Linked DNA regions of Callithrix jacchus. The main gene of each other region encodes a partner of the protein of the gene in region 2 in a complex. Links are inferred from orthologs where the notes say so. Each region holds a gene or a part of one and is shown on either strand. Other genes may lie near its edges.

Region 1 (4,523 bases), on a different chromosome or scaffold from region 2:
AGCTGGGCATGGTGGCGCGTGCCTATAATCCCAGCTACTCAGGAGGCTGAGGCAGCAGAATTGCCTGAACCCAGGAGGTGGAGGTTGTGGTGAGCCGAGATAATGTCATTGCACTCCAGCCTGGGTAACAAGAACGAAACTCCGTCTCAAAAAAAAAAAAAAAATTCTCAAGTATTTAAAACCCAGTGTCTGGGCCGTGCAAGGTGGCTCATGCCTGTAATCCCAGCACTTAGGGGTGATGAGGCGGGTGGATCATTTGGGGTCTGGAGTTTGTGACAAGCCTGGCCAACATGGTGAAACCTCATCTCTACAAAAAATACAAAAATTAACTGGGCATTGTGGCAGGCAGCTATAATCCTACCTACTCGGGGAGGCTGAGACAAGAGAATCACTTGAACTCGGGAGGCTGAGGTTGCAGTGAGCCGATAAGAGTAGTGTTACTGCACTCCAGCCTGGGCAACAGAGTCAGACTCTTGTCTCAAAAAAAATAAAAATAAAAAAAATAAAGGATAAACAGAAAACTAATGCCTGCACTGCTTTTAAATCTCCTCCCACTTGTATCTTTTATTTTAATCTTATTTCAGGACTTAGACTAAATGCTGTATTTTTGAGAGACTTCTCCCTGTCCTTCTAGCCCCGTAGAACCTTCTATCAGAGAGTCTATATTCTTCCTAATGGGTGCTTCTCATTTTGTAGAAATAACATTTGCTGTTTATGGCCTGTTCTTTTTTTGTTTTGAGATGGGAGTCTCACTCTGTCGCCAGGCTGGAGTGCAGTGGTGCAATCTTGGCTCACTGCAACCTCCACCTCCCGGGTTCAAATGATTCTCCTGCTTCTGCCTCCCTAGTAACTGGGACTACAGGTGCGGGCCACCACGCCCAGCTAATTTTTGTATTTTTAGTAGAGACAAGGTTTCACTATATAGGCCAGAATGATCTAGATCTCTTGACCTCGTGATCCTCCCACCTCAGCCTCCCAAAGTGCTAGGATTACAAGTGTAAGCCACTGTGCACCATGCCCATCCTATGGCCTGTTCTTTTTTGAGACACAGTCTCCCTCTGTCACCCAGGCTGGAGTAAAGTGGTATAATCATGGCTTGCTGTAGCCTCGACTTCCTGGGTTCAAGTGATCATCCCACCTCAGGCTGGGATTAGTCCCTAATAACTGGGACTACAGACATGCATCACTACACCTGGCTAATTTTTAAATTTTTTGTAGAAATAGAGGTCTCACTATGTTGCCCAGGCTAGTCTCAAACTCCTGGACTCAAGTGATCTTCCTATCTCAGCCTCCCAAAGCACTGAGGTTACAGGTGTGAGCCACCATGACCAGCCTAGTATTTACTTTTTTTTTTTTTTCCCAGATGGAGTCTCACTCTATCATCCAGGCTGGAGTGCAGTGGCACAATCTCAGCTCACCGCCATCTCTGCCACCTAGGTTCAAGCGATTCTCCTGCCTCAGTCTCCTGAGTAGCTGGAATCACAGGCGCCTGACACCACACCTGGCTTATTTTTGCATTTTTAGTAGAGACAGGGTTTCACCATCTTGGTCTGGCTGGTCTTGAACTCCTGACCTCGTGGTGACCACCCATCACGGCCTCCCAAAGGCTGGGCTTACAGGTATGAGTCACCTCGCCCAACCCGAGAGCCAGGGAGCCTGGCTACTAGTACTTACTCTTTAAACTATATAATGCTTTGTATTGTTTTCCAATACACAGCATAATCCCAAGCTTATCTGTAAATTTAAGGCACAAGGCACTTATTTTTAAATTTTTCTTAGAGATGGGGTCTTGCTCTATTGCCTGGGCTAGAGTGCAATGGAGTAATCATTGCTCACTGCAGCCTCAAACTCCTGGGCTCAAGCGATCCTCCCTCCTCAGCCTCCCAAAGTGCTGGAATTACAGTACTGAGCCACTGAGCCCTACCCATTTATTTCTTCCTTATATCTTCCACCTCTCCCAGCCTTCAAATAGTTCTCAAATTAAAGAGGTTCCAGGGCGTTGGGCACACCCACCCCCAACAGACTTGTTGGAACAGGTACCTACCTCAGGTCATTCTTGAGTTCCACGACCACATCCTTGCCCACAAGGGACTTGAAAAAAGAATAGAAGAGCTATTGGGTGAGAGGGGGAAAACCATCATGTGGGAAGGAACATGGTAGGGAGGAGTGTCCCTTGCCAGTATTACCAAACACTGGTATTGTGAACCCCACTGCATCTCTGACAGTTCTCAAAACTTCACAGGAAAGAATAATCGGCTGACAGAGGTGAAAGGCTGGAGCCTATATTATTCCACACACTGCATTGAGCCCATCACTTAAAGTTCCAGAGAGGCTCTGCCCTGCATACGTCGGCCCAAGTGTGCTCTCTCAGTCGGCCACCTTCCTGGGGTCCCTGCCCACTCCTTTCAATGAACTGCAGAAAATATCCCACCCCCACCCGCCGGAAGCCTGCTTGGTCTCCGGCAGATTAAGTGCTCTAAGGTCTAACTTTTCTGTCTCCCGCTGTCCCCATTGACTCTCTCTCAGGGTTGAGTTTTTTTAACCTCCCATGGAAAAAAAAAAAATTCCCATTTGCTTTCAGGTATCTCCTCAACGAACTTGAGGCACAAGACTAAGGACCTAAAACTCCAGCCCAGGGGGACAAAGGCCAGACTCCCCGCCCCAACCGTCCGAGCTCCCCGAGGGCACCACCTTTTGACTTCACAGTACCCACCATGGTTTTGGCGCCGCGGGCAGCGGGCCGGACCGGGAAAAGATCAGGCTGCCGCCAGCAGGTCTGGGGAAACCGAAGCGGGAGCCCGCGCGTGGGGCGAGGCGGGGCCGCGCAGGCGCAGCGTGAAAGGACGTAGACAGCTCCAAGCACTGAAGGGGAGAGCGCGGCCGACTTGTGGCTGGGGAGAGCACTCTGGGTAGAACCGAAGGGAGGAGGAAGCCGGGAAAGGGGCGGGGTTCCTGCATTCCGACTTCCTCCCGGGCTGGCCGGCTCCCATTGCGCACGCGCGGACCCGGGCCTGGGCTGCTGGGCGGGTGGCGGGACTCAGCTCCTCAACTCAAAGGATACTGTTCTTTTCCAGGATCCTGTCGTCCATAGCGTCAAGTCCTCCTGATTTACACACACTCCTAATCGAGAATTGTGGGGAGTTTGTGAAGATTATGAAGTATGCACTTTTCTATATTGGTTAAAACCATAAAATGTAAAAGTTTTGAATCTTTTTTTTTTTTTAATTTTTTATTGGATTTTAGGTTTTAAGGTACATGAGCAGAACATGCAAGACAGTTGCGTAGGTACACACATGGCAGTGTGCTTTGCTTTCCTTCTCCCCTTCATCCACATTTGGCATTTCTCCCCAGGCTATCCCTCCCCACCTCCCCCTCCCACTGGCCCTACCCTTTTCCCCCCAATAGACCCCAGTGTTTAGTACTCCCCTTTCTGTGTCCATGTGTTCTCATTTTTCATCACCCGCCTATGAGTGAGAATATGCGGTGTTTCATTTTCTGTTCTTGTGTCTGTTTGCTGAGGATGATGTTCTCCAGATTCAAACGACACAAACTCATAATTTCTGATTGCTGCATAATATTCCATGGTGTATATGTGCCACATTTTTCCAATCCAGTCTATTATCAATGGGCATTTGGGTTGATTCCAGGTCTTTGCTATTGTAAACAGTGCTGCAATGAACATTCATGTACATGTGTCCTTAGAGTAGAACGATTTATAGTCCTTTGGATATATACCCAGTAATGGGATTGCTGGGTCAAATGGAATTTCTATTTCTAGATCCTTGAGGAATCGCCACACTGTCTTCCACAATGGTTGAACTAATTTACACTCCCACCAACAGTGTAAAAGTGTTCCTTTTTCTCCACATCCTCTCCAGCATCTGTTGTCTCCAGATTTTTTAATGATCGCCATTCTAACTGGCGTGAGATGGTATCTCAATGTGGTTTTGATTTGCATCTCTCTGATGACCAGTGACGATGAGCATTTTTTCATATAAGTGTTTTGAATCTTAAATTAAGTTGAAAAAAAGAAAAAAGGGCCAGAGGCGGTGGCTCACGCCTGTAAGTAATCCCAGTACTTTTGAGAGGCCGAGGCGGGTGGATTATGAGGTCAGAAGTTCAAGAGCAGCCTGGCCAAAATGGTGAAAACCTGTCTCTACTAAACATACAAAAATTGGCTGGGCGTGGTGGCTCATGCCTGCAATCCCAACATTTTGGGAGGCTGAGACAGGTGGATCACTTGGGGTCAGGAGTTCAAGAGCAGCCTAGCCAACATGGCGAAAACCTGTCGTCATTAAAAATACATTTAAAAAATTAGCCAAGCGTGGTCACAGGTGCCCGTAATCCGGCTACTCAGGAGGCTGAGGCAGGAGAATCACTTGAACCCAGGAGGCAGAGGTTGCAGTGAGCCGAGATTGCACTACTGCACTCCAGCCTGGGCGACAGAGCAACAGGGCAAGATTCCCATCTCAGGAAAAAAAAAAAACAAAAAGGCCGGGCACAGTGGCTCATACCTGTAATCT
Region 2 (3,814 bases):
GACCAGCCTGGCCAACATGGTAAAACCCAGTTTCTACTAAAAATACAAATTAGCCAGGCATGGTGGCACGCACCTATAATCCCAGCTACTTGGGAGGCCGAGGCAGGAGAATCGCTTGAACCTGGGAGGCAGAGGCTGCAGAGAGCCAAGATCCACTGCACTCTAGACTGGGTGCCAAGAGCAAAACTCAGTCTCAAAAAAAAAAAAAAAGAAAAGAAAATGGTCTGTAGGCAAAACCATCCAGGACGTAGGAACAGGCAAGGACTTCATGACTAAAACACCAAAAACAATGGCAATAAAAGCTAAGATAGACAAATGGGATCTAATTAAACTCCAGAGCTTCTGTACAGCAAAAGAAACCATCATTAGAATGAATCAGCAACAAACAGAATGGGGAAAAATTTTTGCAATCTATCCTTCTGACAAAGGGCTAATATCCAAAATCTACAAGGAACTAAAACAAATATACAAGAAAAAAACAACCCCATTCAAAAGTGGGCAAAGGATATTAACAGACACTTTTCAAAAGAAGACATATATGAGGCCAAGAAACATGAAAAAATGCTTACCATCACTGGTCATTAGAGAAATGCAAATCAAAACCACACTGAGATACCATCTTACGCCAGTTAGAATGGCGATCATTAAAAAAATCTGGAGACAGCCAGGCGTGGTGGCTCACACCTGTAATCCCAACATTTTGGGAGGTCAAAGAGAGCAGATTGCCTGAGGTCAGGAGTTTGAGTCAGCCTGGCCAACATGGCAAAACCATGTCTCTACTAAAAATACAAAATTTACTAAAAGTACAAAATCTACTAAAAATACAACAATTAGCCAGGTATGGTGGTGCAATACTGTAATCCCAGCTACTTGTGAGGCTGAAATTAGAGAATCACTTGAATCTGGGAGGTGGAGGTTATAGTGACCTGAGATCGCACCACTGTACTCCAGCCTGGGGACAGAGTGAGACTCCATTTCAAAGAAAAAGAGAGGGACGGGAAATAGTATGTGTACTGGCCAAGAAATTACTGCCTTCTTGTCTAGTCAGATGATCCTCAGACAGTGAGTCTTGCTAAGGACTATACTCGAATTGTTCTGCAACAAGCAGAGCATTCCTTTGTCTGCTCACTAGGCTGCTGTGAAATGGTGAGGTTTTTTTCTAGCCTCTGGGCTCATGGCCTCTGGAACTTCCAGGGAATGAGGGACTGAATCTGTGTGTCCTTGCAGTATCAAGTAAGAAACATGCCAGATGCATTCTGTTGTTTTTCTTTAGATGTTTGCTGTGCTGGCTAGCCAATGACTTTTTTACCCATGTGCTGATAAGCCTGAAATGGGAGAGGCAGAAAGTCAAAGCTGTCTTATTTTCAATTAAGTTATTTTTAAGAAAATTATACGAGTAAGTAATAGGTGCACACTGTAGAAATTTTCTTTTCTTTTTCTTTTTTTTGAGACAGTCTTGCTCTGTCACCCAGTCTAGAGTACAGTGACAGAATCTCGGCTTACTGCAACCTTCGCCTCCTGGGTTCAAGCCATTCTCCTGCCTCAGCCTCCCCAGTAGCTGGGATTACAGGCGCACACCACCACACCCAGCTAATTTTTGTATTTTTAGTAGAGATGGGGTTTCACCATGCTGGCCAGGCTGGTCTCAAACCCCTCACCTTGTGATCTGCCCACCTCGGCCTCCCAAAGTGTTGGGATTACAGGCGTGAATCACTATCCCCAGCCTTCTGGGTGTCCTTCCCTTCCTCAGCGTTCCTGTCTTGATCCTACCTGAAGGACAGCGTTGGCATAGTCATTGGCCTTTATGTTATTCAGTCCCACGATACCCGGCAGGTAAGTGGTACCATCATATGCCCGGGACAATTTGGCTTGCTTGTCCAAGTTTGCAATTTGCTGCTTTGTAAAAGTGGGCTTCAATACATACTGTAAAACAAAAGAAAATTCTAAGTTGTTTAAGAGCTGAGTTCACAAGAAATGTCTGGAGCAGCTATTTCTGCAGAAACAAAAATGACTTTGGCCATGAACATCTCATGACACACGCAAAGAGTCCCAACCAATAGATGTAAAGACTGAAGTAACATGGGGTAGATCCTCTCCCATGACTAATCTACAAGGGGATCTCTGTGTTTAATCCAAAATCACTAAATCCCAGTGATTTTTGCAGACCTCAGGTCTGGTCAACTCATAACTGACTGCCAGAAACGATACAATACTCAAGTTTCTAACAGCAGTCTAAGCCTCAGAACCTCCCAGGGGCAGCACATGTACTTAGCTTTGGAGCAGGAGAGTTTCCTCCACGCTGGGTGAGACTGAGGATTTCCATGACTTTCTGGGACTGAAAGAGCAGGATCAGATGCTTCCCAGGTTCAGTCACCACAGTCATTATGTCACAGACTGGACAGAGGTCATCCCAAACTCACTTTGAAACACTGAATTTATTCCAGTTTCTCCCTCTATAATACTATCCATAACTTTTATTTTTTGAGACCGAGTTTTGCTCCTGTTGCCCAGGCTGGAGTACCATGGCACAATCTCGGTTCACTGCAACAGCCACCTCCCAGGTTCAAGCAATTCTCCTGCCTGAGCCTCCCAAGTGGCTGGGATTATAAGTGTGCGCCACCATGCCTGGGCAATTTTGTATTTTTAGTAGAAACAAGGTCTCATCATGTTGGACAGGCTGGTCTCAAACTCCTGACCTCAAGTGATCCACCTGCGTCGGCCTCCCAAAGTGCTGGGATTACAAGTGTTAGCCACTGCACCCAGCCTATGTATAACAATTTTAACCTCAATTATTAACAAACCTGGCAGTGGCTCATGCCAGTAATCCCAGTACTTTGGGAGGTCGAGGTGGGTGGATCATGAGGTCAGAAGATCAAGACCATCCAGGCGTGGTGAAACCCTGCCCCTACTAAAAATACAAAAATTAGTTAGGTGTGGTGACACACACCTGTAATCTACTGCTAAGGCAGTAGAATCGCTTGAACCTGGGACGTGGAGATTTTGCTGTAAGCTGAGATGGTGCCACTGCACTCCAGTCTGGCAACAGTGTGACTCAAAAAAAAATAGGCTTATAAAACTTTCGCAAGTAGAAAAACCAGTATTTCAAAAACTACCAAACTTTCCTTAAAAATAAACAGAACATGACCAACCTGTGCAACACAATGAGACCCCACCTCTTTTTTTTGAGGAGCTTCGCAGTTGTTACCCAGGCTGGAGTGCAATGGCACGATCTCGGCTCACCGTAACCTCCGCCTCCTGGGTTCAAGCAATTCTCCTGCCTCAGCCTCCCAAGTAGCTGGGATTACAGGCGCACGCCACCATGCCCAGCTAATTTTTGTATTTTTAGTAGAGATGGGGTTTCACCTTGTTGACCAGGATGGTCTCGATCTCTTGACCTTGTGATCCACCCGTCTCAGCCTCCCAAAGTGCTGGATTACAGGCGTGAGCCACCGCACCCAGCCGAGACCCCATCTCTATAAAAAAAGTAATAAATTTATCTGGGCATGATGGTACATGCCAGTAGTCCCAGTTACATGGGAGGCCGAGGTGGAAGGATCACTTGAACCCATGAGGTCAAGGATATAGTGAGCTGTGCTGGTGCTGCACTCCTGTCTGGGCAACAGAGTGAGACCCCATCTCAAAAACAAAAACAGAGCATTTGGCACCATGAATATTCCCCACATGCTGAAAAGAAAAATAATAATCAAAAGCCCAACACTAATCAAAGCCCAAGAGGACTTTCCATGTTCAGTACAATGAGTATCTCTTGGTCCAGGTCACAAACTAGAGCCCACAGATGATACATCTGTGGCTG

Evidence for each region.
Region 1: USP39 (region 2) and LSM2 share a complex: the UniProt entries of both Homo sapiens proteins name them as parts of the U4/U6-U5 tri-snRNP complex. The link is inferred for Callithrix jacchus from reciprocal best matches to the Homo sapiens genes USP39 and LSM2.

What each region holds. Positions count from the first base shown.
Region 1 is NC_133505.1:39,306,730-39,311,252, forward strand, and holds the start of LSM2 (U6 snRNA-associated Sm-like protein LSm2), read right to left. Parts: upstream 2,817-4,523; 5' UTR 2,717-2,816; coding exon 2,714-2,716; exon of another isoform or gene 2,582-2,713; intron 2,113-2,581; coding exon 2,045-2,112; intron 1-2,044. UniProt on the Homo sapiens protein: Plays a role in pre-mRNA splicing as component of the U4/U6-U5 tri-snRNP complex that is involved in spliceosome assembly, and as component of the precatalytic spliceosome (spliceosome B complex).
Region 2 is NC_133515.1:27,397,185-27,400,998, forward strand, and holds part of USP39 (ubiquitin carboxyl-terminal hydrolase 39), read right to left. Parts: intron 1,924-3,814; coding exon 1,771-1,923; intron 1-1,770.